Regions from separate parts of the Mus musculus genome. Here all the other regions are reported to be linked to region 3. Evidence: microRNA targets listed by miRTarBase, many of them from high-throughput screens and not tested one by one. Region 3 holds a microRNA gene; each other region holds the end of a gene's coding sequence. Distances are from middle to middle.

What was found. Region 3 holds the annotated microRNA mmu-miR-324-3p (CCACUGCCCCAGGUGCUGCU, at 4,274-4,293, shown strand). A microRNA usually pairs through its seed, bases 2 to 8, with sites in the 3' UTR of a target mRNA and lowers its output. Matches are read on the target gene's strand: a 7mer-m8 pairs with bases 2 to 8, a 7mer-A1 pairs with bases 2 to 7 and ends in A, and an 8mer does both.
Region 1: the mRNA of Lfng is a reported target of mmu-miR-324-3p. The part of its 3' UTR that is shown has no 7-base or 8-base seed match.
Region 2: miRTarBase lists Myo18a as a target of mmu-miR-324-3p. Seed matches in the 3' UTR shown: 7mer-A1 at 1,358-1,364.
Region 4: miRTarBase lists Adam10 as a target of mmu-miR-324-3p. Seed matches in the 3' UTR shown: 7mer-A1 at 3,371-3,377.
Region 5: miRTarBase lists Slc22a23 as a target of mmu-miR-324-3p. Seed matches in the 3' UTR shown: 7mer-m8 at 2,402-2,408.

Annotation. Positions count from the first base shown.
Region 1 is chr5:140,613,275-140,619,341 of GRCm38, reverse strand. Lfng (LFNG O-fucosylpeptide 3-beta-N-acetylglucosaminyltransferase) reads right to left here. Exons shown (of 8, transcript NM_008494.3): 6 at 6,021-6,067; 7 at 5,066-5,151; 8 at 3,797-4,935. The coding sequence ends at 4,869. Among named protein-coding and RNA genes, the nearest start is that of Lfng, 9.0 kb to the right of the region's middle.
Region 2 is chr11:77,863,857-77,869,923 of GRCm38, forward strand. It overlaps Myo18a (myosin XVIIIA), which reads left to right. Exons shown (of 41, transcript NM_001291213.1): 41 at 835-2,132. The coding sequence ends at 979. Among named protein-coding and RNA genes, the nearest start is that of Gm29932, 18 kb to the right of the region's middle.
Region 3 is chr11:70,007,822-70,013,888 of GRCm38, forward strand. It overlaps Mir324 (microRNA 324), which reads left to right and starts at 4,222; the gene lies at 4,222-4,310. It overlaps Dvl2 (dishevelled segment polarity protein 2), which reads left to right. Exons shown (of 15, transcript NM_007888.4): 11 at 1-122; 12 at 199-330; 13 at 460-639; 14 at 956-1,174; 15 at 1,323-2,288. The coding sequence ends at 1,771. It overlaps Acadvl (acyl-Coenzyme A dehydrogenase, very long chain), which reads right to left. Exons shown (of 20, transcript NM_017366.3): 7 at 5,613-5,757; 8 at 5,351-5,480; 9 at 5,137-5,262; 10 at 4,627-4,825; 11 at 4,365-4,469; 12 at 3,863-3,949; 13 at 3,715-3,777; 14 at 3,524-3,625; 15 at 3,347-3,444; 16 at 3,185-3,257; 17 at 3,028-3,100; 18 at 2,877-2,949; 19 at 2,704-2,779; 20 at 2,362-2,615. The coding sequence ends at 2,475.
Region 4 is chr9:70,776,772-70,782,838 of GRCm38, reverse strand. Adam10 (a disintegrin and metallopeptidase domain 10) reads right to left here. Exons shown (of 16, transcript NM_007399.4): 16 at 2,610-4,839. The coding sequence ends at 4,745. Among named protein-coding and RNA genes, the nearest start is that of Adam10, 100 kb to the right of the region's middle.
Region 5 is chr13:34,178,289-34,184,355 of GRCm38, forward strand. Slc22a23 (solute carrier family 22, member 23) reads right to left here. Exons shown (of 10, transcript NM_001382849.1): 10 at 881-5,023. The coding sequence ends at 4,666. Among named protein-coding and RNA genes, the nearest start is that of Gm52037, 17 kb to the right of the region's middle.

The sequences.
Region 1 (6,067 bases), not on the chromosome of region 3:
AGAGGGCATCGGGCCAGTTCTAAGCCACTGGGATTCGAACCTCAGATCCTCAGGAAGAACAGCCAGTGCTCTTAACCACTGAAGCTCTCTCTCCAGTCTTACTTATTTTTCACGATGGAGTCCAGGCTGGCCTTGGATTCTATGTATCCAAAGATGTTCATGTGATACTCATTTGAACCCAGGACTTGGTTCATGCTTAGTAAGCACTCTACTGACTGAGCCATATTGTCGGTTCTCATGGATGTGTGTGTGTGTGTGTGTGTGTGTGTGTGTGTATGTGTGTGATATGAAAGTACACGTGGGCTATCTCAGAAAGACGACTATCCTAGAGGGGACAGAGGTAGAGGGGATGAATAGGTCAAAGCATGTGACAAATGGAGCTATCTTAATGAAATTACTGTGTACAGTGGAAATACACCAATAAAAAAAAATTGCCAAAAGACCACTGAGATGACGCAGATGGCTAAGGTACGTATTGTTAAGTCTAGTGACCTAACTTGCACATGACACACAAAAACCATTTCTCAAGGTTGGAGAGATGGCTCAGAGGTTAAGAGCACTGACTGCTCTTCCAGAGGTCCTGAGTTTAACTCCCAGCAACCACATGGTGGCTCACAACCACCTGTAATGAGATCTGACGCCCTCTTCTGGTGTGTCTGAAGTCAGGTACAGTGTACTTATATATCTTTTTAAAAAATGTTTACAAATGCCAACCCCCAATATTTTTAACCTTTTTTTATAAGTTACATGCATAGGCGTTTGTCTGTATGTACACCATTCACGCTTGGTGTCTGTAGAGGCCAGAGGATGGTGTTACATCCCCTAGGATTGGAGACAGTTATGGGCAGCCCTGTGGGTGCTGGGAATCGAACCTGGGTCCTTGCTGTGCAAGAGCAACAATCATGGAACCATCTCTCCAGCCCCAACTTAAAAAAAAAAATTTAAAAACATTAAATGCCGAGCATGAATAGGAAAAGATAAATTTTTTTTGTTGTTTTGGTGGGGGAGAGGTCAAGGCTGGGGTCAGGTGGCCCTAGGAGAATGTGCCACAGGCTAGGCCAATGGGTCTGACAAATTGCTGTCTGCCCAGGGCCTTCTGCTTCCTCTTGAGACCTCATGAGGCCCAGAACAGAGGCTGAAGCCACCCAGCGGGCTCTGACTTCTACCATCAGAGGTCCAGCCTCAGGGAGAGACGAAATGGCTTTGCTCACTGCCCTTCCCAGCCTTCTCCTCACCAGGTCCCTCCAAACCCCACCCTGGGGTGCATTTGTCTGGGCTGTGCCAAGCTTGAACACCCACAAACACATGCTGACTTCTGCTCACACGCTGTGGTTTTGGCCTTCCGGCTCCAGCAGTGAGGCACCTCTTCCAGGAAGTCAGCCCTGCTGACCCCAGAGGGGAGGGAAGTTCAGAGAGGGAAGTTGAAAGCTTCAACCCTACCCTGCCACCCTCTCCCAGACCCAGCTCATCTCGAGAGAGGAAGCTGGGTGCCTTCCTGCTTCTGCACCCTCCCTGACACCCTAGAGCTTGCGTGGTGTGCAGTGTTACTTTTATTGAGAGCTGGGAGGGGAGGAGCATCATTCAGTAGGTAGCCTAGGCTGGCCTTGAACTCTTGGCGATCCTCCTGCCTCTGCCTCCCCATCCCTGAGATTTACAGGCACGAGGCATCAGTGTACCTGGCGTTTTATAAACTTTTGGAAGCCCCAGGACAGGATACCTGACTGAGTAACTGACCAGAGAGGAGGGCTCCTCGCTAAGACCCTCACTGAGGCGGCCAGGCAGCCAGTCATTGGTGGCGCACGCCTTTAATCCCGGCACTTGGGAGGCAGAGGCAGGTGAATCTGAGTTCCAGATCAACCAGGACAGCCAGGCAGGCCTACACAGAGAAATTCTGTCTTGAAAAAAAATCAATTAATCAATCAGTCAGTCAGTCAGTCAGTCAGTCAGTCAGTCAGTCAGCTTGCTTCCCTCCTCAGGAGAAACTCTTCCGCCTGCTCTACCTGGGAGTTGTTGAAGCCACTGGCTAGACCCTTCCTGGGCCCTCCCTACTTGGCTTCTGTTTCTTAGATGATTTTTTTGACCTCACTTGGTAACCCATGCTGGCTCTGATCTCACGACCCTCACAATCCTCCTACCTCAACAGCCTCATGAATAATACTAGGTTAGAGACCTATGCCACCTCACTGGGTTCCCCTCCTGCTCCGTGCTGAGGTTCTGCCCTCCAGGCTCAGGACCACCCTCTGGCTCCAATCAGAATGGGAAGCTCACCCTGGCTGGGGCCCCCAGCTCCATGCCGGCGGCGAGGTTGGTGCCGCTGTACCACACCTCTGTGGCTGCCAGCTCTGTGCCAGCTGCAAGGGGCTTTTGACGACCAGAGCAGAGGGTAGCAGGCCTCTGACTCATCCAGGCAGGAAGGAGGCTCATGGCCCGTGTGCAGACTGCTCCACCGTGACCTTTCCACCCTTACAAATGTCAGCTTCCTCATCTAGAAGTAGGGCCCCAAGCCACCGCCACCAGGCCCTGTATGCCAAGGACCACGGCCACCACTGGGGATCCCCTACTCTGAAAATCCCAGGCAGCTGCCTCAGGCCTTAAAAAGCCAAACTACAAAGCCAAGGTGGGGTCAGGCTCTGGCCAGTCACCCCACAAGGCAAGAGCAGTTACCAGCAAGGGCCATGCCCAGCCCACTTGGGGGTGCTGAACCCACAGCTGTGAGCAATGTCTGGTGGAGTGCAGGACAGATCTCTAATCAAATGGTGTGGGGAAGAAGGCAAAGGACACAGGGGTGGCAGGTAATGAGGACCTAGCCCCGTGAGTCCGGGGTCAGGTCAGAGCAGGCAGCCACCTACAGAAGGGCAGCAGGTGGGCAGCACTAGCCTGCTTCTCTGTAAAGGAGCGGAAACAAGGAGACCACAGGGAAGGAGTGTGGTGAGGATCCCCCGATCAGCCAGCCTCTGTGGCTGGATTTGAGGAAGGTCCCTGAAGAGCCTCAGAAAGATCCGAGTCCTCGCCAGCTCTACCCACGAGTGAGCAGCCTGGGTACTGCCCATCCTCAGAGGATACATGACAGGTGTATCTCATGACAGATGAGAGGCCAGGCAGTGTCAGCAGAGTTGACAGGGAACGAAGATCTAGGGGGGGTGGGGGTCATCCACCTCAGCAGCCTGGCTGCCTGACTTTGGTCATCCTCATTTAGCCTGCTTTGAGCCTCAGTTTTCCTGTCTGGAAAATGGGTCTCTGGCCAGCCCCCACTAGCCACTGCACCTCCTCCAGAAAGGTCTGGACACAGTGAGGTTGACACAGGGCATGACCTGATCAAGCAGCTACCGCCATCAGCCCTGTCCAATTCCCACCTCCCAACATGGTATCAACCCATCAGAGGCACATCTACACCAAGCTGGCCATACTTCATCTATTTTAACACTAGTTTCCCTCCCAAGTCGTAAACTTGTTGAATTCTTCTTCTTTTTTTTTTTTTTTTTTTTTTTTTTTTTTTTTTTTTTTTTTTTTTTGGTTTTTCGAGACAGGGTTTCTCTATATAGTCCTGGCTGTCCTGGAACTCACTCTGTAGACCAGGCTGGCCTCGAACTCAGAAATCCCCCTGCCTCTGCCTCCCGAGTGCTGGGATTAAAGGCGTGCGCCACCATGCCCGGCTAACTTGCTGAATTCTTACCAATTGCCTTCTTCTCTATGTCATGACTGGGTCTCCCCTGCCCTCATCTGAAAGTCCCCTCGAGTTACCTTGATGGACAGGTGGCTTAGCCCCAACTCCCAAGCAAGACTAGGGCCCCTTGGGTTGCTGCAAAGAGCACCTTTATTCAGAGGAAGGACGTCACCATAGCAACAACACATCAATTCCCTGAGAGCTTTTCCCTTATCATCATTAGCTTGCCTAGTTAAGGTCTTTGCAAAAAGAACACAGAATACAGCCCAGGGGTAGGGGAGTGAGGAGTTGGGGGTGGTGGGGGTGAGGTAAGTCTTGGGGTGCTGGGGAGGGTTGGGGGGGAGCAGGATTCCAGATACTGGAAGGCATAAATACAGTACTAAGGCACTCATTGTCCAGCTTTCCAAAGACCAAGCCTGTCTGGCTTCCACTTTTTTCTGATCCACAGAAAAGATAAAATAAGACCCTCTCCAGCCCACCCCAGAAAACAACCACCCCCCACCTCCTTTCACACCCACCCCTCCCCTTTCAAGAAAGAGCACAGTAAAAAAATACTGTCACAATATGTACAGGCACACCCACTATGGGCGACTTTCTCTCTACTTTGGAGAGGAGATAAAATTCATAGCTCTGAACCCCACTTGGTGTGGGAGACAAAGATAGGGCATCAGAGGGTGGGGCTGAAGACTTCGCCTCCACCCTGGAGGGCAGGGGGTGGGGGAGCATTGTTCACCAGAATGGCACCAGGCAGCGCCCGGGCCAGAGCTCACAAGGGGTCCAGGCCTTTACTACCCAAATCAGCTTCCCTAGGACTGGGCACAGCTCAGCTGACAGGGAAGGCTCCAGATAGGTGCTAGCACCCCAACATAAGAGACTGCTACAATCAGCACCCACGGACCCCTGAGTGGAGCCCCAAGGCCTCACCCACCCCCACTGCAGAGATCCAAACACAGATCCCACACAACTGCCCTCGGAGTGGTGCTCAGAGTGTAGTTAGGGACAGACCTGCCACTCCCTGAAGAACACGACTGCCCAGCAGTCTGCAACACGGGTGGGCACGCCACACAAACACACAAATATAGACATACACACACATACACATAGCCCTGAAGAGCCTCGGACACCAAGGCCAGGGCATACAATAAAGGTCCCTGGGCCCTTTGGATACCAGGGGCGCCCAGGGACAGAGTTTCAACCACGACTGCTAGAAGATGGCGGAGCGAGGACACCAGGGTGTGTCTGGGTACAGGTGGCAATGGACAGAGCGGAACCTGTTGGGACAGAGTAAAGACTGGTCTGCGTGGGCTGGGGGTGCCATGGGCCCTCTGGCAGTCCCAACCATGGGGTTCCTGCCACCCCCCCAACCCCGGGGGTACTTGGTGACCCTCTACGAGTTCTTACCTGGATGGGTCAGCTTCCACAGAGAATGGTCCCTTGATGTGCACTGCGTTCCGCTTGTTCTCAAACATGCCATAGCTCAGGGTCACCTGCATTGGGAGCAACAGGATGATGCTGGAGAGGTGGCAGTCCTGCCTGGCTATTCCTGCTGCTGTCCCTTGAGCCAAGGACACTGGCTCGGCCCACCTGGGGATGAAGCCCATGGTGGGGCCTACGACCATAAGGGAGACAGAGCAAGAGTGTCCCCTCAAAGGGCATGATCAGCAACTTAGAAGAATCTATTTGACTTTCTGTTTTGGAGGAGCTAGAGAGTGAAACTGGGGTACCTCATGTGGACCAGCAGGCTGTGACACCTGAGAATGAGGAGTCTCTGATATCCCTATTTAAAACAGTGACCCTGGGCTAGCCCAACTAACTGCATAAACTGGATGTGGTAGTACACTCCTACAACCCTAGCCCAGGAAAGTGGAGTCAGGAGGATCAGGAATTCAAGGTCATTCTCAACTACATATCAACTTCAGGGCTAGCCTGGGCTATAAGAGACCCATCTCTAAGTAAATAAAAAAATAAATAAATGAAAACATACATACACCCCACCCCTAAACGACTCTGAATCAGGTGTGGTGACACACAGCTGATTCCTAGCATATGGGGGGCTACAGCAAGAGGATCAAGGCTAGCCTGGGCTACATAGTGAAGCCCTGTATCAGTATGCCTATAATCCAGCTCTCAGAGGCAGAGGCAGGTTGATCCCTGAGTTCGAGGCCAGCCTGGTCTACAAAGGTAGTTCTGGACAACCAGAGCTACACAGAGAAACCCTGTCTCAGAAAACCAAAATCAATCAATCAATAAATAAATAGATAAAAATTGTCCCTTCCTTGGAGGCACCCTCTCCCTTCTGTCCCTCAACTGTTGAGTTCTCTGCTTGGTCACCCAGGCCTGGGGGCCACATGCGCACCTGCTCATGAAGCTCGGTGGTGGGCACCTGCTGCAGGTTCTCTAGGT
Region 2 (6,067 bases), 7.9 Mb from region 3:
AACACAGGCACCCCCGGGTACAAACAAAGCTGGGTCCAGGGCACCAGTAGAGGTAATGCTGTGTTGGGCTGTGTCTTCTCCAGGGACATTAGACTGTACTGCATGGGCTTAGGGACAGTGGGGACAGGAGGAGGCTCTGGGAAAGAATGAGAGTGGATGGAGCCAGAGAATGTAGTCCTGTCTGCTCTGTTGGATGTTACAGTCCTTCTCCCTCCAGGGGATCATACTTCTTCATATCTTTGGAGGGACAGCCTTCCAGAGCCAGGGGCCCGATTGAAGACTCCAAGGAGTTGTTAAGGACCCCTCCCATTGGCCCATCCTCAAACAGGTCCTGCCAGCCTCTGTCCCGAGCCTCCGTTCCTTTTCCAGTAGAGGATGCCATGGTCAAGGACTGAAGTCTTCCAGGCCCAGGGAAACCCTGATTAGGGGAAATAGATCAGACCTGGGGTCCTGCCAGGAGTAATCTACCTGAGAGTTTCCTCCTTGGACAGGTTGTAGTCAAGTAGTCACCTGCCTTAAACCTTCATCCGTGTGCTCTTGGACTGCTTACACGGGAGCAAGAGAGCTGAAAACTCCGAGTCCCAGGGTTCCTCCCTCAGGACTCAGTCTAAGCTTCTCAGGGGAAGGAGACAGGAATGCACTTCTTAGGCTTATGGAAGCCTGGCCCTTGCTGCCACCAGCCTTCCCATCATGTTAGTCTGAAAAGCTTACCAACTGCAGACTCTGTGCTCCTTTGGACCCTGGAGCGTTTGGGTCTTAGAGTGCTTGAGCAGAGCTCCGTGGCCCAGCGTAGAAGTGTTCTTTGGCCCTGACCCTGTCCCTCTCTCCCTGCAGCCCAACCAGCCACTGGAAGCCACTCGCCCCTGACCCATCGGATGATGAGCATGATCCTGTGGACAGCATCTCCAGACCCCGGTTCTCCCACAGCTATCTGAGTGACAGCGACACAGAGGCCAAGCTGACAGAGACCAGTGCATAGCCTGGGATGGCTCACGACTCTCCCACCCCACAGCCTCTCCCAGGATAGAGGGGCACCACTGCCCCCACCTGACTGCCGATCTGCATGGAAAACACCTTGGCTTTCTGTCAGGGGGACTTTCCAGGCTGTGGGCGTCTGACAGCTCCACGCGGCAGAGGTGGGCGAAGCAGAGTCTCTCCAAAGAGAGCTTCCGCTCTTGCCTCTGAACGCCATGCTCTTAGCTCCCGCTCTGGGCCACTATGGACCACGTCAGGTGGCCTGGCATTCCATGGAGCCGGTGGTGGACCTCCATCTCAGCCTCCTGCTCAGGGATGGTGGATAGGTTACCTGCTGGGCCGCTCGAAGTCGCTGGGCCCCATGGGAAAGAGTCAGGAGGGAGCAGTGATGCCTCCCCTCTGCTGGGGTGAGGGCTTTCTCTTCTCAGTGCCTGCTGTCTTTTTACTGTTTAATTTAAATACCCAAACCTCCATGCAGCTGCATCCCTGAGAGTGGGAGGGGCTGCCGCTGCAGCTGGGGCCTGTGGGATGCCTTGGGAATCTCCCCTCCATCTTCACTTCTCCAGAGGCCCTTTTCTCCTGCAGCCTGCTGCCAGGGGACAGCGGTTAGCAGAGCCGGGGCCCTGGTTCTTTGGAGGCAGGGTGGGGAGGATGGCAGCTGGGTGCTTCTGGCTTGGACCGAGCCAGCCTCGTTAGAGTATTAAGTGCAATGAGCAGTTATTTAAGAGCTGATCTCTTCCACCTGCACCCACCCGCGGCTTCCAGCTCTGCCTGCCTCTGACCGTATTATAGCCGGGGCCGCTCATTCGGCGCTGAGGACCTGTGGTGGGCACAGTGGAAGGTAGATGTTTTGGTCTGTTTATCAGACTGGAGTCCTAACCCTTTGTCATCTTTCTTCTGCCCATAACCCTGTCCCCACACACTTACCCCAGACACAGCAACAAGTGGTCTGTTACTTGTTACTTCTCGGTTTCTTACCATAAAGCTCATCTGACTTTTCCACTGGATCTGGGGGCCCCAAGGCAGTACCTGGTGCTGGACCTGTTTGCCATCCCCCTTCCCTTCTGCCATTGCTTTGTACTCATTGGGCTGTGCTCTCCCTGTGGACCTGATTGATGTAAGGAAATAAAAGGCCCCTTCCCTCCTGGCCACAAGTTTCCCTGCCTCTCCTTGCAGGCTCAGGGGAAGTCCAGGGTGGTCCCGGGCAGGGGCAGAGGTGGAATTCTGATGGGGACATGGAAGAACCACCTTGGTCTGTGTGGCCAATGTCACTCACTCCCAGAGCCTCACCAGGTCACTTGCCATAGTGGGTAAAGAGGCTGTTTAAGGAGGACAGAGCCTCCCACATTTGTGTTGAGGTGAGTGGGGCTGGCAGCTTGTCCCCAACCCCTTCTCAAAACTTTAGTCACTCCAGAGGTGACTTTTTGGTCAAAATTTGGCAGCATGTTCTCTGTTCCTCAGCCCTCTTTAGCCACAGAAAACTCGAGAAGCCTAGGATCACTGCCTTAGATGGCTGCTCAGTCTCTGCCTGCAGGCCTGAGCTATACTCGCCAGACTTTCGTGGCCTTGCAAAAGTTATAGGGCAGCTCATGCAGATGAGGAAGAAACCAAAGGCCTTCCCTACCCTCCTCCTCCTCCTCCTCCTCCTCCTTCTCTGAACATTATCCATGTCTAGATCTGTTTTCCACAGGCGTTCAATGGTCTGAGGAGGTGGGTGGGAAGAGCTCTGGTGATGTCTGTCTGGAAAGTCAAAAGAGGGAAAAGTCACCACCAAAACAAGCTGGGGAGAGCTTGGATCCTTCTGGGACAAAGGCGCCTGCCCTCCAACAAAGAGAAAAGGCGATGAAAGTGAGAGCCTCACTGTGTAGTCCAGGCTGACCTCTAATTCACAGTTCTCCTGCCTCGGCCTCCCTAAGCCCCAGATTGCAGGTGCAAACTAACACACCAGGTCTGGGGTGAGAATATTTTCTCAAGTCAGGGGACTTGTGTTACTCAGTCTGCTCAGCATTTGAGTCGCCTCATTAACCTGGGCCCGGTCCTGGTGCTGAGAATGAAGTCCTTTCAGATCGGGGACATCCCAGGGTGGAATCGGACTTAGAGCATATGCCTCACCTGCTGGTAAGTATCATCTTCCGACCTGAGCGGAGAGATCTCAGTGCCTGTCCTCCAGGGATGGGATCAGGGGCCACCGCAGAAGGGCAGAGAAGGTGCTTCCGAGCTATGAGCTACGCTATGGGAAGAGAATGAATGCCTTTGTGGAGAGGGAGACTGCGAAGGGTCATCAAAACGGTATTCAGGGCTTAGGCCTTCAAGGAGAATGATTGCTCGGGTAGTTATTGCTAGGACATGCATGGGGAAGAAAGAACTTACAGGATGGTCTTGACACAGAGGGATAAACAATGCTCATGCCACACACTGCCTGGGAAAGCCCGAGTTCACAGTCCGCCTCTCCCCCACCCCCAATGCTTCTCCCAGTTCCCACAAACATCCTAACCCAGGTTAGGAGGGCAGCACTTCCTTCCCTTGTTTCCCACTCCAGAGGCCCAGAAACCACCAAAGCCTGTCTTCACTTGAGGTTACTCCTGGAGAACTCTGCAAGCTCCTAAGTACCCACAGTACCTCTTCCCCTAAGATGGTTGTGATCCCACAAAACAAAGCCACTGGCCCTGTGCCCCAGGCCCGCCTCACAGCCACCCTGAGTCCGCTGTCAATCCTCCCTGCTAATTTCCAGCCTGCAGGAATACCCTGACTCCAGAATTAGAGGCAAGGGACCAAAGCCCTAGGGAAGTCCCCGCAGTGCCCAGACACATCAGCAGCAGGCAGTGACCCCCCAAACTGCTCCCTTTGTCCTCAAGTCCTCTTGGCAGATTATCCCAGTTGTCCTTCCCCCATCCCCCCCCCCCCCCCGTGCCTGGTGGCACAGACACTTAGCGATTTGCTCCTTAATTGTCCCCCAGCTAGGCTGCGCAGATGCCGCTCTTTAATCTCTCCTGATAAATGAATCGCGCCGCTCCTTTAATCATATGTTCATATCCAAGCCAATTTGAATCAATTTGGCAGGGAGCGTGTTGCAAGAGATGCCATGACTGCTGTTCTCCCCCCAGGGCCCCAGAGCCTGAAAGCTGCAGTCCTCACTTTCAGCAGAGAGCCCAGGAGGCCCATCTAGGAAGAGGAGTGCCTACCTGAAGTGAGGACTTTTTAAAGTCAGCCACCTCATTTGCTTCCCGCCCTCCAAGCAGGCTGTGTGGGAAGAGAAAACGGATTCCCAAAGGCCTCAGGAGTGGGAGGGACAGGGGATGAGTTCACAGCCAGCCTTGGTCACTGAATAAAGGGCCATCCCTGGGAGAAAGTGCTGTCTTAAATCTAACCTTAATCCCTCCTGTTCCCCTTTCATTTCCTCGGAGCCGGTTCTCAGGAACTTGGAACACTTTGTAGCCTCTTATATAGCAACACATGTCAGACCAGACTATGCTAATTTGTCCCCGCCTGGTACTCCCAGCTACCTCAACTGCTTTCATCTTCCCCTAGGCTATATCCTCTCTAAATCTTCCAGCGGAGGGGCACGCCTGATGATGGACGAGTTCTGCCCTTGGGGTAGCTTCTTTCCCATTGCCCCAGTTGGAATCCGGGCCAGTGAGAAAAATAGCAAAAGCAAACAGCTACTGACACCACAACCTGGGAAAGGGGCTGACTCTTCTGGCCTCGGTTTCCCCATTTGTAAAGTGAGGTGGTGTTGCTGGCACGAACCTTTGGTTGCTAAGTTGAGATTCTGTTGCTGCCGCCAAGGCACCCTTGGGTGGCACCCATGGAGTTGGTGAGACGGGTGCTGAGGAAGTTCATGGTCTGCCTGGGCTTGGCTTCCAGCCAGCGGCCTCTGACTTTCAGCCCCTCTTTCATTTCCTATTGGCCTCCCTTCCTGACTCTGTCAGGCCAGGTAGGCGCCCTGTCTTTCACTGTGAAACTGGGAAATCACTACCATTTATTCCGATTTTATTTGCAAGTTCACAGCCCTGATTTTAGAGCTCAGTAGCTTCTGGCTCCATCCCACACTTGGAGATTCTGCTCTTGTTGCTCCCAGAAACCACACACCTCCACAGGGTTTCTCTGTGTAGCTTTGGCTGTCCTGGAACTCACTCTGTAGACCAGGATAGCCTCGAACTCCCAGAGATCCACCTGCCTGTCTATGCCTCCCAGGTGCTGGAATTAAAGGCCTGAGCCACTGCTACCACCATCCAGCATCCAGCTTAAGCCATAGCTTTAGTAACAGGCTGTGTTAGCTATGTCTCAAGCAGTTGTCAGGGCCATGTGAATGGCATTCTCTCCTCTCTCTCTCTCTCTCTCTCTCTCTCTCTCTCTCTCTCTGTGTGTGTGTGTGTGTGTGTGTGTGTGTGTGTGTGTGAGACAGGGTCTCACTAACTGCCCTGAAACTCACTATGCAGACCAGGCTGGCCTCAAACTCATAGAGGTCCAGCTGCCTCTGCTTCCTGAGTGCTTTGATTCTGTCTCTTCCCAGATCAAATTGCAAGAGTGATCTGGAGTGATCTGGAGTCATGCCATGATGCTTAGCATTGCCCTTTTAATGATTTCAGATCAGGACCAAGGGAGCAGCTTCCCACCCCTTTAAGTCTTAGGGGGAGCTGAAGCAATGATGGACCTGGAGGCTGGGTGGTGCTTCCAAGATTATCACCTATTTGGTGAGGAGGTAACAATGGCTCCTACGCATTGAGTTACTGGGTCCCCAGCCCTCACACCTTGACTGACATAGTCTCTCCCAAGTCTGTTAAGTGTCATTGTCCTCTAAGGTAACTGAGGTTCCAGTGATGTCAGCAAGGTCCTCTGCTTGGATCCAGCAGCTGGCTGGGCATCTGGAACTATTCTAGGCTTGTCAGGATGCAGAAGAAGCAGGAAGGGGAGTGACCACTGTCATGGCCCCCTCCAACCCTTATGTGCTTAGTAGTCACCAGACCTGGCCTGAGGAAGAAAACACTTTTGGCAAATTCAGGAGAAAATGTCTTGTGCACATCCATGTTGCTCTTTAGAATTTTAGACCCCCCCTTCATGCATTATCACATTTGTGCTGTGCTCCCACTGC
Region 3 (6,067 bases):
CATCCAGCCCATCGACCCAGCCGCCTGGGTGTCGCACTCGGCTGCGCTGACTGGCGCCTTCCCTGCTTACCCTGGCTCCTCATCTATGAGCACTATCACATCTGGCTCCTCTCTGCCTGATGGTGAGTCTCTCTCCTTTCCCGCCTCCCTGGGTGTGTGAGGGACCTTTCGTAAGTTCTCCGTGGTCTCTCCTATCAGGCTGCGAAGGCCGGGGTCTCTCTGTCCACATGGACATGGCCTCTGTCACCAAGGCCATGGCAGCCCCAGAGTCTGGGCTCGAAGTCCGGGACCGCATGTGGCTCAAGATCACCATCCCAAACGCCTTTCTAGGTATTCCCAGGCCCTGAGCAAGGTGGCATGGGAAGGTGGGGAGGAGGCCAAAGCTGGGCACAACACAAGGTGGAGGGGAGGGGAGGAGCTGGGAGGAGAGTCTGACCTGTTTGCTGTGCTGGATCCCAGGCTCCGATGTGGTGGACTGGCTGTACCATCACGTGGAAGGTTTTCCTGAGCGCCGGGAGGCCCGCAAGTATGCCAGTGGGCTGTTGAAGGCGGGACTCATCCGGCACACCGTCAACAAGATTACTTTCTCTGAGCAGTGCTATTATGTCTTCGGGGACCTCAGTGGTGGCTGTGAGAGTTGTAAGTCAGCAGGTCTGGCTGTAGGAGCTCAGGCTGATGTGTGCCCCGGTACTGCTGAGTAGTACTGCTGAGTAAGCGAGGTACCTGAGCTGCATCCCCAAGGGAAAGAGTGCTGCACGGGGCTCACAAAAGCATTTTGGGGCTATTGGTGAGAGTCCTGGCTGTTTCTCTGCCAGAGCAGCAGAGTTTCCTGTTGTAAGCCATCATGGTCTCTGGCTTTTGTCTCGTGGGGAGCTCTGGGGAAATGGCTCAGGTTTCTCTGTTCTCAGGAATCCTGGCCTCCTAAAGCAGGGACCTCTCTTCCATTTTTTTCCAGACCTAGTTAACCTCTCTCTGAATGACAATGACGGTTCCAGTGGGGCTTCAGACCAGGATACCCTGGCACCTCTGCCTGGAGCTACTCCCTGGCCCCTGCTGCCCACCTTCTCCTACCAGTATCCAGCGCCACACCCCTACAGCCCCCAGCCTCCACCCTACCACGAGCTTTCTTCGTACACCTATGGTGGAGGCAGTGCCAGCAGCCAGCACAGTGAGGGTAAGTGACCCACTCCCACGTACCAGTACAGCCAGAGAAAGTGGGCACAAGTAGAGCGGATTCGGGGAGGAGAGGCAAGAGCAGGGACTGGGATCCTGAGGACTCTGGGCTGAGCTTCATTTTCCTCGTCACCTCTGCCCTCCAACAGGGAGCCGGAGCAGCGGGTCGACAAGAAGCGATGGGGGGGCTGGGCGCACAGGCAGGCCTGAGGAACGGGCCCCTGAGTCCAAGTCCGGCAGTGGCAGTGAGTCAGAACTCTCCAGCCGGGGAGGCAGCCTTCGGCGGGGTGGGGAGCCTGGTGGGACTGGTGATGGCGGCCCTCCTCCATCCAGGGGCTCGACAGGCGCTCCTCCTAATCTCCGAGCTCTTCCCGGGCTCCATCCCTATGGAGCCCCATCTGGCATGGCTCTCCCCTATAACCCCATGATGGTAGTTATGATGCCTCCACCCCCACCCCCTGTCTCCACAGCAGTGCAGCCCCCTGGTGCCCCTCCAGTCAGAGACCTGGGCTCCGTGCCCCCAGAACTGACAGCTAGCCGTCAGAGCTTCCACATGGCCATGGGCAACCCCAGTGAGTTTTTTGTGGATGTTATGTAGGGACCCATCTTGAGGCCACATTGGGTCTGTGCCCTTGGCCTGGCAAGTTTCAGCCTGGTGCCCTTCATAGTGCCTGGGCTCAGCCTGGCGGCTGGTGCCTACCAAAACGTTTTTGCCACTGTGACTCTCACCAGCAGTGCCTGGTCCTTCCCCCTCTTCCTCGGGGGTAGATGGGGACCTTTGGTTATTTTTAGCTTTATTTTTTATAAGCTTTTTGGGGGGTTAAAATAGACTTTCTTATATTTGGGGGAGTATTTTTTTAAATAGACAGTTCCTCTTTTATATGGAGAATCCCTTCTAACCCCAGAATATGACCGCCACCTCCAGGTGCCTAGTCAGCTCTCATGTTGAGGGTGGGTGGTGGTCAGTGGTACCCTGGGAAGAAGAAGGTGTGGGCTGGGTACCCCAGACAGCAGTCCAAGGAGGCTGGTGGTGTGTTGGGGACTGTGTAGCTGCCTTTGTTACTCTATTTATTTTAGTCACTTGTACAAAACACCAAATAAAGCAAATAGAGGCCAACTCCCCAAGCCTCTGGCTCCTTTCTTTGCGAGGCAGGCAGTGGAGAGGAGGGAGCAGTGACATTCACGGCAGACAGTGACTTGGTAGAAAATTTATTGTTAAGGCAATAAGTACTCCATCACCCCCATAAAGGGTTTTGGCATCAGAGAAGGCACATGACCTTGCCAGGGCCTGATTGGGAGTCTCAGATTCCCAGGGGGTTACCGGTGACCAGGCCACCATTCTCCACCATGGCCTTGGAGATGCTTCTGAAGTTCCGGAAGAGCTCCTGATGCTGAGGGCTGGACTGCAGACTGGCCATGTTTTCTCGGATCCGAGTTGCAGCCTGGGGAGAGGGAAGGGGAGGGACGGTCAGGCCGTCCTGTACTGGGGAGCTCCAAGGCCCACCTGTACTGGGGAGCTCCAAGGCTCACCTCAATGCACCAGCTATCACAGAGCATTTTCTCATGCTGTGCCGTCGGGTAGCCCTCACTCAGGGACCTTGAGGCTCTGTGAGGAAACAGAGGTTAAAATGATCCTGAGTGCTGGTGTTGGCCCAGCTCCTCTGTGGCTCTAGCCTGCCAAGCGTCCCTCGCTGCCGCCTTACCTGGACAGAACCACCACCATGGCATAGAGGTCAATGGCGCCGTCCGCCAGTCGCTGCAGCAGGAACTGCTCGTCTGTCAGGTAGATGAGGGTGGGGCTGTTAGTCGGAGGGAGGGAATCAGGGAGGGAAGGGGGTTGCAGAGCTCACTCACTGACAATCCCTTTCTTGTGTTTCACCAGCTTGGCCTCCACCACGGTGGCAAATTGATCCAGAGCCTGCACTGCCTGAAGAGACAAGAGTCACAGACAGAGCTCAGGAGAGGAAGGCAGCGCACAGCCACCGCAGGCTCTGCTTTAAGGCTCACTCACCAGTTCACCACTGCGACTTAACTCTGGGTGGACAATCCCTGACAGACTCAAACCACTGCCGATTCCTGTCCTCCTGAGAGGAGATGGAAGAGTGACTGGTCAGTTGCGGCCTCCCATCTTGTTTGACCCTGACTCTGACCCTGGCCCCGGCCCATGAGGTACCGTCTCAGCTGTTTGCCTGCTTCTCCCATCAGGAGGCCAACGTTTCCAAAAGGATTCTTCAGGGCATTGCCCAGCCCAGTGAGTTCCTTTCCTTTGTCCTGTGGAGAGAAGGGGGACGGCGACAGTGAGGACTCAGTGTCCTCCCCAGCTGCTCTCTCTCATCCTCCTTCCTCTTACCATACAGCCTTGCAGAGCCACAAACAGTCGAAGAATGTCATTTGCCCCTTCAAAGATCCGGAAGATTCGAATATCTCGGAGCACACGCTCCACCCCTGGTTCCTGGCACGCAGGAAGACACAGAAACCTCTGTTGAGATGTGCCTGTCCACTCTGAACAGATGCCCCCCCCTGCCGAGGAATACTCTGTACCTTCATGAAGCCCATGCCCCCCATTATTTGGATGCACTCATCTGCCACTTTCCAGGCCGCCTCCTGAGGACAGAGAACCAGATGAGTTGGATTTTTGAGCTGAGGTCCTAATCTGGACTCCGCCCTCCCATCACACCTGGGTCCTCACCGAGCAAAAGATTTTGCTGATGGCGGCTTCTATCTGGAAGTCTTTGAATCCCTGGTCCATGTTGGCACTCAGCATGTAAGCCATGGACTAAGGGAGCATGGTCGGGACATGGGGAAGACAACAGGGAAGGGCTGCATCAGACAGAATGGCTAATGCTCAGACCTTCAAGACCAGTGCTGATCTACTCCTCCAACCCTTGAATTCACTTTAGCCTCCTGGTCAGGTCAAATATGTCCAATATGTGACCCTCTGGTATATCAGGGGCTTCGAGGCTTCCGACTTTGTAAAGGGGTGGGTTAAAAGTCGTGTTTGGTGCATCTGGGCAGCATTTAGCAGAGCAGCACCACCCTCCAGAAGAGAACTGACTATGCCTCCTCGCATCCCCTAGGGCATTGGTGTAAAGCTGGAGACCCACTGCCCCAGGTGCTGCTGGGGGTTGTAGTCTGACCCAACTGTGAAGAAAGCCATAGGGCTCCAGGGAAGGGGCCCAGGAGGCCCTTACCTCAGTCACATACTGCAGAATAGCCATCCGAGCCAGCTTTTCCTGGATCACCCCAAAGTTGTGAATTTTGTCCCCAAACTGGGTACGATTAGTAGCATGATCAACCTGCAAGAGGGCGCATGTTACCCCACTGTGGTTCTTCAGTTTCCACCTGGACGGGCTGGAGGCCTAACTGTGCCGATGGTCGAGTGTGCATGTGTGTGTGTCGGCGCTCTGAGGCAGTCAGGGACATGTGCTAGCTAGGGACTGGGCTGGGACTCACCGCCTTGGCAATGAGGGATTTCATGGTGCCTGCGAGGGTTGCAGCCATCCCGAATCTTCCGTTGTTGAGGATGTTGACAGCAACCTTGAAGCCATCTCCCACCTCTCCTAGCACATTCTCTGATGGCACCTTCACTCCATCAAAGTACACCTCTGACGTGTTAGATGCTTTGATGCCCATCTTCTTTTCAGGGAGCCCACTGAAAAGGCAGGGCAGGAAAGTTGAGGTATGAACAGGTTGCTGTGGGGGAAAACGGCCTTTTCGGGTCTCATGATCAGGGGAGAACTCCCCAGACTATAAAAAGGATACAGGGCACTGCCTATGTGCCCCAGGGGCTACGGATATCTAGCTATGGCCTGTTAGCCTGTGTTCCCCCAGTGGAAACAAAACTGCTCACCTCCTGTGGGTGCCTCTTGTACAGAGATAGCCCCAGCGTGGCCTGTATTGACTATTTGCTCTTGAGAGCCCAGTGCTGTCCCCATCCTTGATTCTGTTTTGCCCCATACTCACTGGGTAACCCCTCCGAAGCTCCTTTCCACTACAAAAGCTGTGATCTTCTCTTTCACGGCCCCCGTGGCTGCATCTTTAATTGGCGTCTTGGCAAAGACAGTGAAAATGTCAGCCAGGCCCCCATTACTGTGGAAGAGTGAGGTGGTTAGTATAGGGTTTAGAGCAGCAGGGTCAGGCCACTGGGCTGAAGGGTAGAAGAGAAACGGAAGATTGCCTGATCCAGATCTTGCTCCCATTGAGAGTGTAATATTTTCCACAGGGGCTGGGTATGGCTGAGCTTCGGATGGAGGCTACATCGGATCCACTCGAGGGCTCTGTTAGGCAGAAAGCAGCCAAAGCCTGCCCTGTGGGGGAGAGAACGGGCTCACTGGGGATCCTGACCACCAGAGTTGCACCCCCTCATCCCCAGGCAGTTCCTTGTAACACCGTGAGCAGTGTCACACTCCTTACCCCTGGGTCTCTTAAGGTTGCCTTACCAGATGCCACTCTGGGAAGGTATTTTTCTCTCTGGGCCTTTGTGCCATAGAGCAAGATGCCTTTGAAACCGATGCTCTGATGAGCTCCCAGGGTAACGCTAACACCAAGGTCATGCATGCCCACAATCTCTGCCAAGCGAGCATACTGGAGGGAAAGGAGGCATCTGGGATTGTAGCTGGCTGCACTGAACTTGTCCTCAACAAGAATGGGCAGCAGGGCAGACCTGGCCTGGGGCTTGGAGCATCTCTACTCTGAGCATGGGGAGTGGAGTGGGTTTGGACAGGGCACAGGGAGGCTGGCCATGGGGCTCCCAGGTAGGCTGCTTCTCTAGCATGAAACCCTGGAGTCTTTCCTAAGGAGACAGGAGCAGGAACATCAAAGGGCTTAGATAATCCCCCCCCCCCCTTTTGAGGCAGTTTCATTTTGTAGCTCCAGCTAGCCTGAAACTTTGTGG
Region 4 (6,067 bases), not on the chromosome of region 3:
TATTTCTTTAAGAAGAAAGTCTTATATTTAAAGTCAAAGACACTATCACCTTTTTAAATCAATGACCTTTCAAACACCTTTAACCCCAAACTCTAGTTTTAAGACTGTATTATTAGATTTAGGATTTCCACAAAGGATTGTTTAAAACAATGAAATATCTGGAACTTACATATGCAAACAATGGGGAAGTGATTAATGTAAAAAGGCATGCAATACCTCCATAGGGTGAGATCATTACTGCCATCAGAAAGGTTAATACACCATCACTATTTTTGCTAAATGAGAAAGGTAGGTTACAAATTATATTGTGAGTCACATGCATTTACTCATATATTGTGCCCTGAAATCTTGACAGTGGAGACCAGGGCATCCATTATCCCATGCCCAGTTGCCCATTTCACTTCAGGCTTAGAATGTGGTGACCCTGGAGCTGCCAAACCATGCAGACACTTCCATCTGTTCCAAGTGGCCAAAAATGTATTCTTGTTACCACGCTCTTCACTTCACCTACTCTGTGTTGGATTAGCCCTGCCATTTTCACGGGGATTTCCAGACAGAGAAGGTAATAAACACTGCATTCAACCCTCTTGTATTTATCTAGTATCCAGTTGCGTTTTAAAAGAAAACACATTCTGAAATGCTTGTCAGTTATAAATACACAAGTTTCTAATGAAAATAGCACATAGGTATATGTCTGAAAACACAAAGCATATGGGAATACAGAATACAAAGGTTTAATCTGTGTCTCACTAAAGAGTTGGCTCCAGAAACAATAAAAATGCTACACTAGTAATAAATGAGGAAAAAAAAATCAACTGGAAGTCTTTACTTTTGTTGCTGCTGATGTGGCTCTCCTGTTTGGAAACGTGTCTGCTCTGTTGCCCAGCCTGGCTTCTATCTTAGGGAACAAGCAAGGCTACCTCAGCCTCCTAAGTAGTTAGGACTACTGGCATATGCACTGTACCTGGCTTGAGAGTTCTTAATTGAGAATCTAAAATGCTTAAAAAAAAAAAAAAAAAAAAAAAGCTATACTCTGGGCAAAGTGATGATCTTTTGTTTCTGAGACAGAAAAAAGTTTCCTCCTATAATCTCTTACAGCATTGGTGACTTCTCTAAAGACGATTTATCCTTACCATCTGCTTCAAACTGGCATCCTCCCTGCTCCCTGGCTCTGGGAAAGCCCAAACCTTTTGTTCCGAGATGCTCTGAGACATTTGACTAAAAATACTCCAGGAGAACTTAAAGGCCTTTTCAAGGACAAGTATGCACCTCACATCTACCAAAGACACCATGTTGAGAGCAACAGTTGGGCCTTAAAAAACAATAGCAGCCCAAGACCTGACTTAGAAATAGAAAACTGCTCAGTTTGGGCAAATCTTCAGTTTTACATTCAACTATGAATGCAACAAGTTTGAAGTACCTAGACAACAAAGTATTAAAGATACTGAAAAGCCAAGACTAATCTTATAAAGCTGTCTTTCCCTTAGATAAACCCTTCCCCAGCCTACATATTGCCTGGTGCTATGGAAATCACTAAATCCCGAAACTGTAATGATATATTTGTTTGTAAACTGGTGTTGAAATTTAGAAAACTATACCAAAAATAAATTCCAAACAAAATTTAAGCAGCAACAAATTTGCAATTATCTGACTTGGTAAAAATTACCAGTTTCATGGGGAAACAAAACAAAACAACCCCCTAATTATTAAGTAACGCTACTGTAAAAGTATGAAAAAGTAGGCACAAATATAAGTGCCCCTGATTCCAGCAGTTGCAAGGCAAAGGCAGTGAGTTCAAGGCCAGCTACAGCGTGAGACGTCCACTTAAAAAACAAAAACAGAAACAAAAACAAAAGAAAAAACAAAGTATTACATATTTACTTACTTAATATATACCAATATTTATAGCTAGTCTTAATTTTAAAATAGGAATTTGGGGCATATTATTCCATAAAGGGCACTATCCTGTATACAAAATAATTTCTTTTGTAGGTAATATTACAATGTCAATTCTCTGCTTACAATATATAATAAATCTGGTAAGACGGGAAAATGTTAGTTCAGAATTTCAAATACATTTTCATTAGACCAAGTCTTCTTTTGTGTGGGGGAACTGACAGGGGAGTTATGAATTGAAGACAAGGTCCACGTGCATGCTAGGTAATTTCTTTACCAGGATTGTTTAGGGAAGGAATCTTGCATATAGCCTAGGTTTACCTTTTCTCTCCAGATCCTCCTACGTTAGCCTCTACAGTACTGAAATTATGGATAGGCACTACCACATCCAGATAAATCAGACATTAATAAAAGCACTTAGCACCCAGACAGAACTTTGAGAACACAGAAAGAAGACTACAAGTTTCCAGTTAGCTTCAGCTCTTCACTAGGACAAGTCCTGGACACTGCTTAGAAACAGTGAGAAGCCGTTGTGTTGAGTAACTTTCAACATACAGTGTACATGTGATAATGGCAATCAACTGTGCACCATGGCTCTGGACTGTAGCAGTGATGCCCTCACTTGCATGGAGAGACCTTTCTGCTGAATAGTCCTTCATTCAGCATGGTGGCTACTTCTGATGTTTCTGAGTCCAAAGAGCATAGACCTCAAGTTGATTTCATCAAGTCTATTTATTAATGCATTTCAAGTTTCAAAAAACCTTACATCTTTGCACAATACTTTATTTTTTGCAGGTTTTAGTAAAAATTTCCAAAGTGAACAACAAAAAAAAGATACTGTATAAAACACAGTGGACATTAAACTGACAGTAGTATTAGATCTCACTGGTCCTGGTCCTTTCATTTTTTAACCACATCTTGATTTGTAGTGGAAACAGTTCAGTGCATGTATCTCTTCAGAAAACATTTAACTTAGACTCAAAATAAAATAGGGCAAAACCCTACCACAGGATAACATTACAAGCAAAAAATGTACATGTTCCAAAGTCTACCACACTCAAGAAGTTACTAAGAACTCTTGCAGAATAAAAGTCACCATTTTAGAAATGCAAATCCACTTCCAACCTTTGCACAGTCCAAAAACAAAGGCATTTGAATGATTTAAAGCAGTGTCATACACAGCTACCTACTTGTTGGGTTAGAATTATTTATAGTCTATCTGGGGTTTCATGTACAAAATTTGTCTCTAAATCATGTACAAAAAGCTGTTTTGAAAAAAGTCCCGCGTACTGTACAAGTTTACAAGGAGAGATCCCATTGTTTCTCTAGCGGTTTTGGCCTTGCTGGCTCGCGTCACATTGTGAGTGATTGTGTAAACCTTAGACTCTTAAGAAAAAAGGAAAAAAAAAAAAAAGCCAAACACAGTAATCTTGTCAACCTTCTCTAGATTGCCTCCTATGTAAAGCCAGGAAGATCACTGCTGCTGACTTCTAATTTAAGTGATGTAGCTGGAAAACAGAAGCAATGAATATGTCACAAGCTTACATTTTTTAATGCCCCCTCCATTTTCTGCATAGCGATAAGCCTGTTAATACATTAAATGCTTTTGCTTTCTCTTTCTTTAAAAAAGCCAATATTTTATCTGCTTAAAAAAGAAGTTTGTAATGGGACACTGTGCTGTCTACCTTCATTGTTGCTAAAATGTTGGGGGGAAAACAACGTCGAAAAACCTATCTACAATTTCAACTACCTGCTGAGCAAATCACCCATCTCTAGTGGTTACCAGTGATCAGTGACAGTGCTGAAGAACTAACTGTCCAAGTATTTCAATGAAGACACTGATTTTCTTTTTCATATTGGATAAAAACAGAATTAGCAGGCTTGAAGTATATGGAATACACAAAGTAATAAGCAGGCTACAGATGAAAATTAATCATTTCCAACATAATTCCAAGGCATGAAAAAATTCACCTAGCAATTTAAAAATGGAATTGATTTAGAAAGTATAAAATACTAAGCAGAAATCAGACATCTACAAAAAGAGCTGACTCTGAAGCCAAATGCTGTTGCTGTCCAGTTTGCAAGCCATCAGCTGCGTTCTTCAGCACAGCCTCTCCTGCTCACAGCAGCCATGTAACAAGGAAAAAAATGTATGTAAGAACCAACTCCACCATAAGAAAAGGGAAAATGATTCTCATTTCAAAACTGCCTGCATAAAGCATTACAGAATCCTGGACCACTGCACACCACCATTCTCTGTTATCCTGAGTATGTCAATTAAACAGTAATTTTTCATTAAGAGCGGAAAAATTTATAATACAAAGAAACATCCATATTGCAATTTCTGTTTACAATTGCACAGAGAAGTACAGTGTACGTAAGAAATACATGTCTGCATATAACAAGGTATGTACATTGGCAAGTGATGTATCCAATGTTGAGGTGGTCGAGCCTCCCAGCCTTGATTGGCAGTTGAAAAAAATATATTTCAATTTGTGATAAAAGTTTATCGAGAGCCAAGTCTGTCTGCAAGTGAAGAAAATGCAGCAACGAAGAACAGGGAACATGGGGCACATAATAATATTCTAAGACTTTGTGCCATTAGGTTAAAAATATCTGTTCATAAGAAAATTGGGTTCCTTTTCCATCCCACCCCCACCCCCAAAATTGGAATTTTCAGGCTTTAAATTTTGAGTAATTCCACCTGATCTGAGGACATGATCTCTTGCCATTTTTCTTCAACTATTAACTGTAAGGGTATCATTTGCAGATGATGACTTAACAGGTTTCTCTTTGGAGTGAAGTTTTCCCACTGTAGGCACTAGGAAGAACCAAGGCAAAAGCTGCATTAGCGTCGCATGTGTCCCATTTGATAACTCTCTCGGGGCCTCTGACGCGGGGGCTGCTGAATGGGCTGTGGCGGTCTCCTCCTCTTTAAAGTGCCTGCAACGAAAGCAAAACAGCTCCCTGAGCACCACCTCCTAATCTTCAAAAGGGAAGCACTCTTTCACCAAGAAAAGCTATTTTTTGGCACTGACCAGCAGAAATAGGTACCCCGTAACACTTTTCAGTTTTCTGGTGGCCATAATAAAATAAAAATAAATTTTAATATTTATTTTATCTAGGCCAATTCAAGTTAAAAATACCAACTGTAGCATGTACTCAATATAAAAATTACTAAAATATTTTACTATTTTATGTTGTCTTTAAGTCTGATCCATATTTAATATTTAACAGCACATCTCAGTGGAGATGGGGCACATTTCAAGTACTTAAAGAATTAGACTGACCAGTCAGAATTATTTTAGCTTTGAGAGCAGAATCTCTGACTGGAGCCCTGACAGACTCTTGAGGCCTGTCTGCACAGCAGGATGGGAAGTCATTCACACAGTCTATCATGAAGACTTTAAAGCCGTCCTTAAGTCAGCACTTTTATGAAGATTTAACAAGTGACGATCATTTTCAGAGGTGTCAACACACAAGTGCATTATCTGCTCCAATGAAGAAGGACACCATGGCAACCATGCCTCAAAAGTGTCCTATAGCTCTTGGAAATGTGTTCAACTCACACAAGTGCCTGGGTTCTGACTTAGGAAACTTAAGAAAGCAAGTATATCAAATCAGACATCCTCCACCCCCATCATGACTCCTGGGCACTCTTGTCCTAACACGGGAAAATGCAAGGAACAGCTGAGGGGAAATACAAAGTAGAAGAAACCACTCTGAGGCAAGGCTCTCCTGAGGAGGCCACACAGTAGCACACAGCCCTGGCTTCCCTGCCACTGCCTTAGGCAGTCTTCCCCACACCTGTAATGACTAGCCACACCTTGGAGAGGGGAAGGGGAAACTGATCAGACTAACTGCAACAAAACAGCCATCCCCTTCTGTCTTCTTCAAATGCTCAAAGTTGACTTGTCCTAGTGGCAGTGTCCTCCAGAGGGAAGGGTGGAGACTATCTGACAGGTTCTTAACATCTGAAGCTAAGACTCCCTACATGCAAACTTATATTTCTCAGTAAGCCTCTTGCAGAGGAAAATGTGCTTCCTACCAGAAACTATTTCAAGAACACAGACATTACAAATGGTATCAGAGCCATTAACTATTTAGATACAAAGGCCAATAATTTAAAATCACCTCCACTACAGTAACACAAACAAGGTATGGCAAGAGA
Region 5 (6,067 bases), not on the chromosome of region 3:
CACCTCCTGATTGCTAGTGCTAGAGGAAAGGGGAGGAAGTGTATCAGACAGAGTTTTAATACATCAGTCATCACTCCGTCCGTTCATTCCTGGTGAGAGTCAACAGCTGTGGTTTGGTTAGGATTGAGTGCAGGGCCTGAGGCTTCTAACTTGTGAACTGAAAGGTTAGTACTTGGGGGCTTCCCATGTGTTCTCTCTAAGCCTTTCATGGTTACCTCACTTGTGCTATTTTAAGCCAGACCTGAACCTTAGTGTAGCTTTGTAGATTTGGGGCTCAGTGGAGTCTAGATTTTTGAACCCATTCTTTCCATCTGTGAAATGGCAATGATCCCTAACTTGCTGGGTTAAGTGTGTAGAAAGACTCGGCAAAGTGACAGGCTGTGACAGATGCCAGGTTTGGTTTTAACTTTGTTTTTTACAGGTACCAATGTCTCAGGCCCCTTTGCACTTACCTTGGCTCTCCTTCTCCCCTTTCTTCCTACTACCTGCCCTTCGGCCATGTTTAATTCCTGGCTACTACTTGGGCTCTAATTGTGTTTTTTCCACTTGAGGTTCATGTGTTGAGATCTACGTTTTGACAAAAGGTGACCACCATTGCCAAAGAGCTCTAATCTTTGGGGTCCCCCTGGACCCTCCTGAGTTGACAGTTCAGGGCCTATCATTATTTTGCACAGTGTCAGTGGGTTTGCACCGAGTCAGGCAGGGGCAGGAAGAAGGGCACTTGGTAGTAATGGTGTCTGTGGTTTGAAGGCCCGCCTCCTGCATATTTTGACGCCAGCCTCGGTAGCCTTGGCCAGTGTTTCTGCAGTGTGGAAAGCCCAGTGGGAAGCTCCCTAGGACAGAGTAGTAAGTGACACAAAATCAGCTATGGAGAGAAGAGTTTGGTATAAATGCTTTATTAAAGAAATATTATTTTCTTGTTAAAAAATACTACATTAGAGAAGAGAGTTTTGTGTTATCAGTCTTTCCTCCCAGAATCACAGTGTAGATAGTCATTCCTTGTCCTCTCTAGGAATCCTCAGGCCACGGATTAGCAGAACACAAAGGAGGGAAAAAAATTCATCTTAAATGTGCAGGATTCTCAGATGGTTTTGAGAATTACACTACATAAGCATTTAAGTTTAATCCGATCTCAGCCTCTGACTACCTTTTAAGACTAGGACTCTTAAAGCAGAGTGAGAGGCCCCACCATCTGCAGGGCGAATGAAGGCCGCTCACAGAAGAAGCCTTGAAAGTAGTGACGTGGGGAGGTCTGATCAACGTGGAGGATTTTCTTACTCGTCCTCAGTGGTAGTGAAATGCCCTTTGTGGATACCATCAGGTGAGGTAGGGAAGACATTCCAGAGGAAATCTGTTAATGGGGCAACATTTTTATTTCTGTACATTTACATACAAATTTTCCCCAAAGGTACAACAGATGCGACACCATGCAGACACGCAGCTGTGAATGACAGTTCAGAGCTCAACATAAACTTGTGCTGTGAACAGGTACCGCCCCCTTCAACACGTACAGTCACGCGGCTCTTAGAGGAAAAGCACGCATGGTTGGGTTGCAGAAAGGACAGAGGTAGGGAGGCGTTCCTCACTAGACACAACACACCATATTGTTTCTCTAAAACACACACAATACATTAGAGTGAGGTGGTGTCATTCAGAACAGGGAGGAGTTGAAGTGTGGGCCTCCCTCAACCCATGTGCCACCCAGGGGCTGGGTGTGTGATGGTCACGAGATTCTTTGAATGGCACTTCTAGTTCAGGGACTTCTCGTTTGGCTCTGGGAAGTAGTCGTGACTGTGTGTGATACTCCCCTTACGAGGTCTGATTTTGCTTGCTTTCCATTTTGTGGCCAAACCCGTTATCAGCCCTGTCCTCCAGTTGCAGGTGGTTATAGTCTTAAAAACACAAAAACATCTAAACCTTTCCCCTATTTGTCTTGGGTGCTAATAAGTAGATATTTCCATAATATTTGACTTAATAAAGAGCAAAATGAAGAACTTGTCCCACCCCGTCTCAGCTGTTGACATTTGTGCATAACTTATGAAAACAGGTGTAGGGATGGGTGGAGAGTAAGACCTTTTAACGTTCTCCAGGGAGGGAGGGGCCCCACACAAAGGCCAGTGCTTGAGGAGCATCTGCCCACAAGGGACAAAGGGCCAAGTTTAGGGATGACAGCTTGGTACCAGGGAGCTGGGCTGTGGCCATCTTTCTGGAGCTAGGTCAGAGTGTCTGAGGCCTGGGTGCCTGCTGTCTTTCTCACTTGGTCAGACCACACAGCAAGCTGGCTCACAAGCAAGCTTTCCTGTTTTGGCTATCTTTCATGAAGGTGTTCTAGCAACTTCAGGTGTCCATGCACTGAAGCAGAAACTGAGCTGCTTAGTCTTTCCCTGAGGCTGGCATAAGACACTGCCAGCAGTCTGCCTTCTGGTTGATGGTCCTCTGGCCCCTGCCTCAGTGGCAGCTTCTTTGCTAATCCCTGATGGGTTGCCTCTGGTCGCTGCAGCCATTAACACTGTCTGCATTGGCCTAGTGTTCTTACCACTGTCATTTGAGGTGGAGATTGGAGACCTTGAAAAGAAGTTTCGAAGTGCTATACCTTGACACCACTAACCTAGTGATTTCTGCAGGCCAACACAACCAGTGTAAGCCTGCTCATGACTGCAAATGTCCCATTCTGTCCTTAACAGAAGGTTGCTGCCAGGTGACTTGGTAGCAGGTACCTGGGAAAGGTGAATGGTATCTTACAAGTTTGGCACGCAAAGGCTGCACAGATCACAGAGGCTTTGGAAAGAGAATGTGTACTAACCTCAAGGCATGGAAGAGGGATGACTGAGAGACCAGGGAGAGTGAAGGGAAGCTGGACTTAAAACAGGTATCAAGGACTGGCCACATGGCCGCCCTCCTAGACATGTTGGTCCTCAAGCAAAGCACTCAGGACCCCAGGCATCAAAGAGAACATAGGCCAGCTGCCAGAAACAGGGTTGCATATGGAATCAGTACTCTCAAGAGGGCTTGATCAAGGCGGCTGGATTCCACTGATGTCTCTATCAGATGTGGAAGAGAAGTGGGTAAGACTGTAAGAAACAGATCAGACAAGGAGCTGGAAGGGGCTCAACTCAACCCTTTTTCTGGCCTTTGAATTCTAGCAACTGTCATTTAGAAGTCACTTTGTTGCCTACATAGGCCCAAGGCCATGATTTCCCTGGAAGAGCACGTGGGAGAGACGCATGGCAAGAGGCAAGGCAGATGGTTGATAAGAAGCCACGATGCCCAGAGAAGCTGGTGCCTGAGCTGCTGCAAGAGGTCCAGAGGCTGGTTTCTTAGCAGCCCTGGTGCCCTGCTGTCTGGGGCAAGATGAGGGACACAGATAAAGGACATCCTGGGAGGCTGGTACAGGATGGGAGTTGAGCTTTGGTGAGTTATTGCTTTCTCTCACTTCTTGCTGCTTTCAAGGGACTAGAGGCCACGTGGACTGACCTGTGAGCAACCTGCACTCCTGCCCAGGGCCCTTTTGTGCTGAGTGAGTGACAGGCAGGAAGCCATTGAGGAAGACATGAGGTGGACCGCCTCCAGGTGCTGTGGGCACTGTTGTGATGTCAGAGTGGCAGCCATCCAAGCTGGAGCTCTCTATGGTATGTGCTGGAGACGTGAGTGGCGGCCATGTGTGGGACATCGAGACTCCCTCCTGGGATTTGCCTTTTTCTGTTATTTTCCTTTTGTTTGGAGTTCTGGAAGTGGCCACATTTTCAAGTAGTACTGGCAACAGGGCTGGCTGGGGAAGAGGGACCTTTGCTGCTGGAGCTCAGTCAAGGAAAGTGTCTTAGCAGAAACAAACATGGCTCCCACCTCAACACAACAGCTGCTGTGGACTTAACTAAGCAAACCGGGCGGCGGCGGGAACTGGCGCTTTCTCATCATGTAGGATTTCTGGTGAAGTATGGAAGTTTCCCCACAAAAACTTCCAGATCAAGTACAAAAGGATGATCCTGAAGGAAAGAAAGATTAAGCTGGCTCGTATGACATCTGGAGGCTGTTTTCCCAACACAGCATGGAAACTACCTAACAAACAGAAAGTAAAGTACCCAACTTTAAAATATACAGACTCTAGGAAAAGAAAAAAAGAAAAACAACAATTCATGTACATTTTCCTCTGTGTAAAATGTAGTCCCAAGGACTCTCTGCTTGAGAGGCACAGCTGTCCATGGCAGGGAGCCTGGAGGTAGGGGTCCTGGCCTACAGATGACCTCTGTCTCCTTGAGTGGAGAAGGAAATTGAGTCTGGCCTCCAGGGAGGGGACTGGCCACTGCATTGGTCACTTACAGGGACTTCCTCAGAGTGACCCTCACTCCTGAAGGAGGTTCTGCTTCATGATCAGTGGAGGGGGGAAGGGGATAAAGTGCTTCTCGTAAAAATGACCAAAATAAATACAAACATTGAATGGCAGAAAAGAAAGTCTTCAGAGGGTTATTTCCAGAGCATCTGGTTTCTCAGATGTGTTCCTCGGATGTCTGGAAAGACAGAATTCCCCACACCGGTTGAAAGTCTCACAATTGAGTGGAGTCAGCAGCAGAGATGGACTTCCTCCCTGGTCTGTAAACCTGTGTGCAAACTCTCCCCAGCCCTTCAAGCCCCGGGGGGACTGGTGGAATGGTGGCGTGGTCCAGCGAGCTACATAGTCTTCATGCCATTGGCAGTGGCCCCCTCTGGCAGCCCGTCACCCACTGCAGCCACGTCATGCAGGCCCGAGTAGTCCTTGAGCTCCGCGTTGGTGAGCAGCAAGGGCTGCTCTCCCTTCTTGTGTGGCAGCAGCGGTTGCCGTGTGTAGTGTTCCCCGTTGGCGATATTCTCAGGCAGGTTCTGGTTCCTGCTCTCAGGAAGCAGGAGGATGCAAATGATGCAGATGAGCGTGCAGCAGGCGAAGATGATATGGTGCAGGAAGTAGCCTTTTTGGTTGTGCAGCTCAATAATGGGCGCTGTCAGCATGCCAAAACCTGCACTGGCCAGCACCAGCCCGAGCCCACCACACCTGCATGGGGAGAGAGCACAGGCTTAAATGGAACATAAGGGTTTGGCGCAGGTAGGGTGGAATGGGAGCACAGGTTGGTTGGTATGTGCTAAGTACTATGGCTGTTAGGGTAAGCTCATAGCACTGTTCCAGAAACTCAGTGTTAGAAACCTCATCTCAAATTCAAATGTTGGTGGAATTCAGACATGGGAGGGAGCTTTAAGAATAATTAATATTAGAGGTAGTCAAGAGGTTAGGCCCCCTGTGACAGCAATTTTATAAAGCCTTTAGAAGGAGAGGAGAAGCCTGAGCTAGCATATTTACTGGGTCACCACTATCTTGATGCCCTGCACTGTCTTGGGATTCTGCAGAATCCCCATTATCTAGGGTCCTCACCATGTACAACCCCTTACCTTGAACCTCTCAGCCTCCAGGACCATAGCGGAATAAACTGTATTCTTTATAAATTGTCAATTACTACAATGGAGAGTGGATCGAGGCACTAAGGAAGTTCAGCCTCTGTATTGGGCCCTACTCTGGTTGGTTCCACCTAGTAAATCCCATAGGTTTGATATCCCAAGCTACTTTCATCTTGGCTGTATCTGAATTCCTGCAACTTTGAGCTCAGATGGGCCAAAGTCAAAGTGTGAGTCATTTATCTCTATTCCTCTGCCAAGTGAGGAACCCTTGAGAAGACACGTAACATTTTAGCACCCCTCCTTTCGTGTCTCTATCTTCTCTACTTTGACATGAAAACATTCCAGGGGCTGAGGTGCTCTGTAGGTACTAAGAAAGAGGTACAGTGTTGGGGTGAGACCATAGTGTTCAGGTAATGGGCCAGAAAACTGCCTGGTCCCCAGTCCCCAGGCCCAAGGGACAGATTGAGGTGGTTTTATCTTCAGAAGGAGGAATACAGTAGCCTGCCTACCTGTAAGAACATCAGGGAGAATATACAGGGATGTGGACTTCAGGAACAACCAGGTCTTTCCACCTATGGTAAGTGGATTTCAACAAAGACACACACCATGGGGCAAAGGGCAGCTGTACAACAAGCAGTGTTGGTGC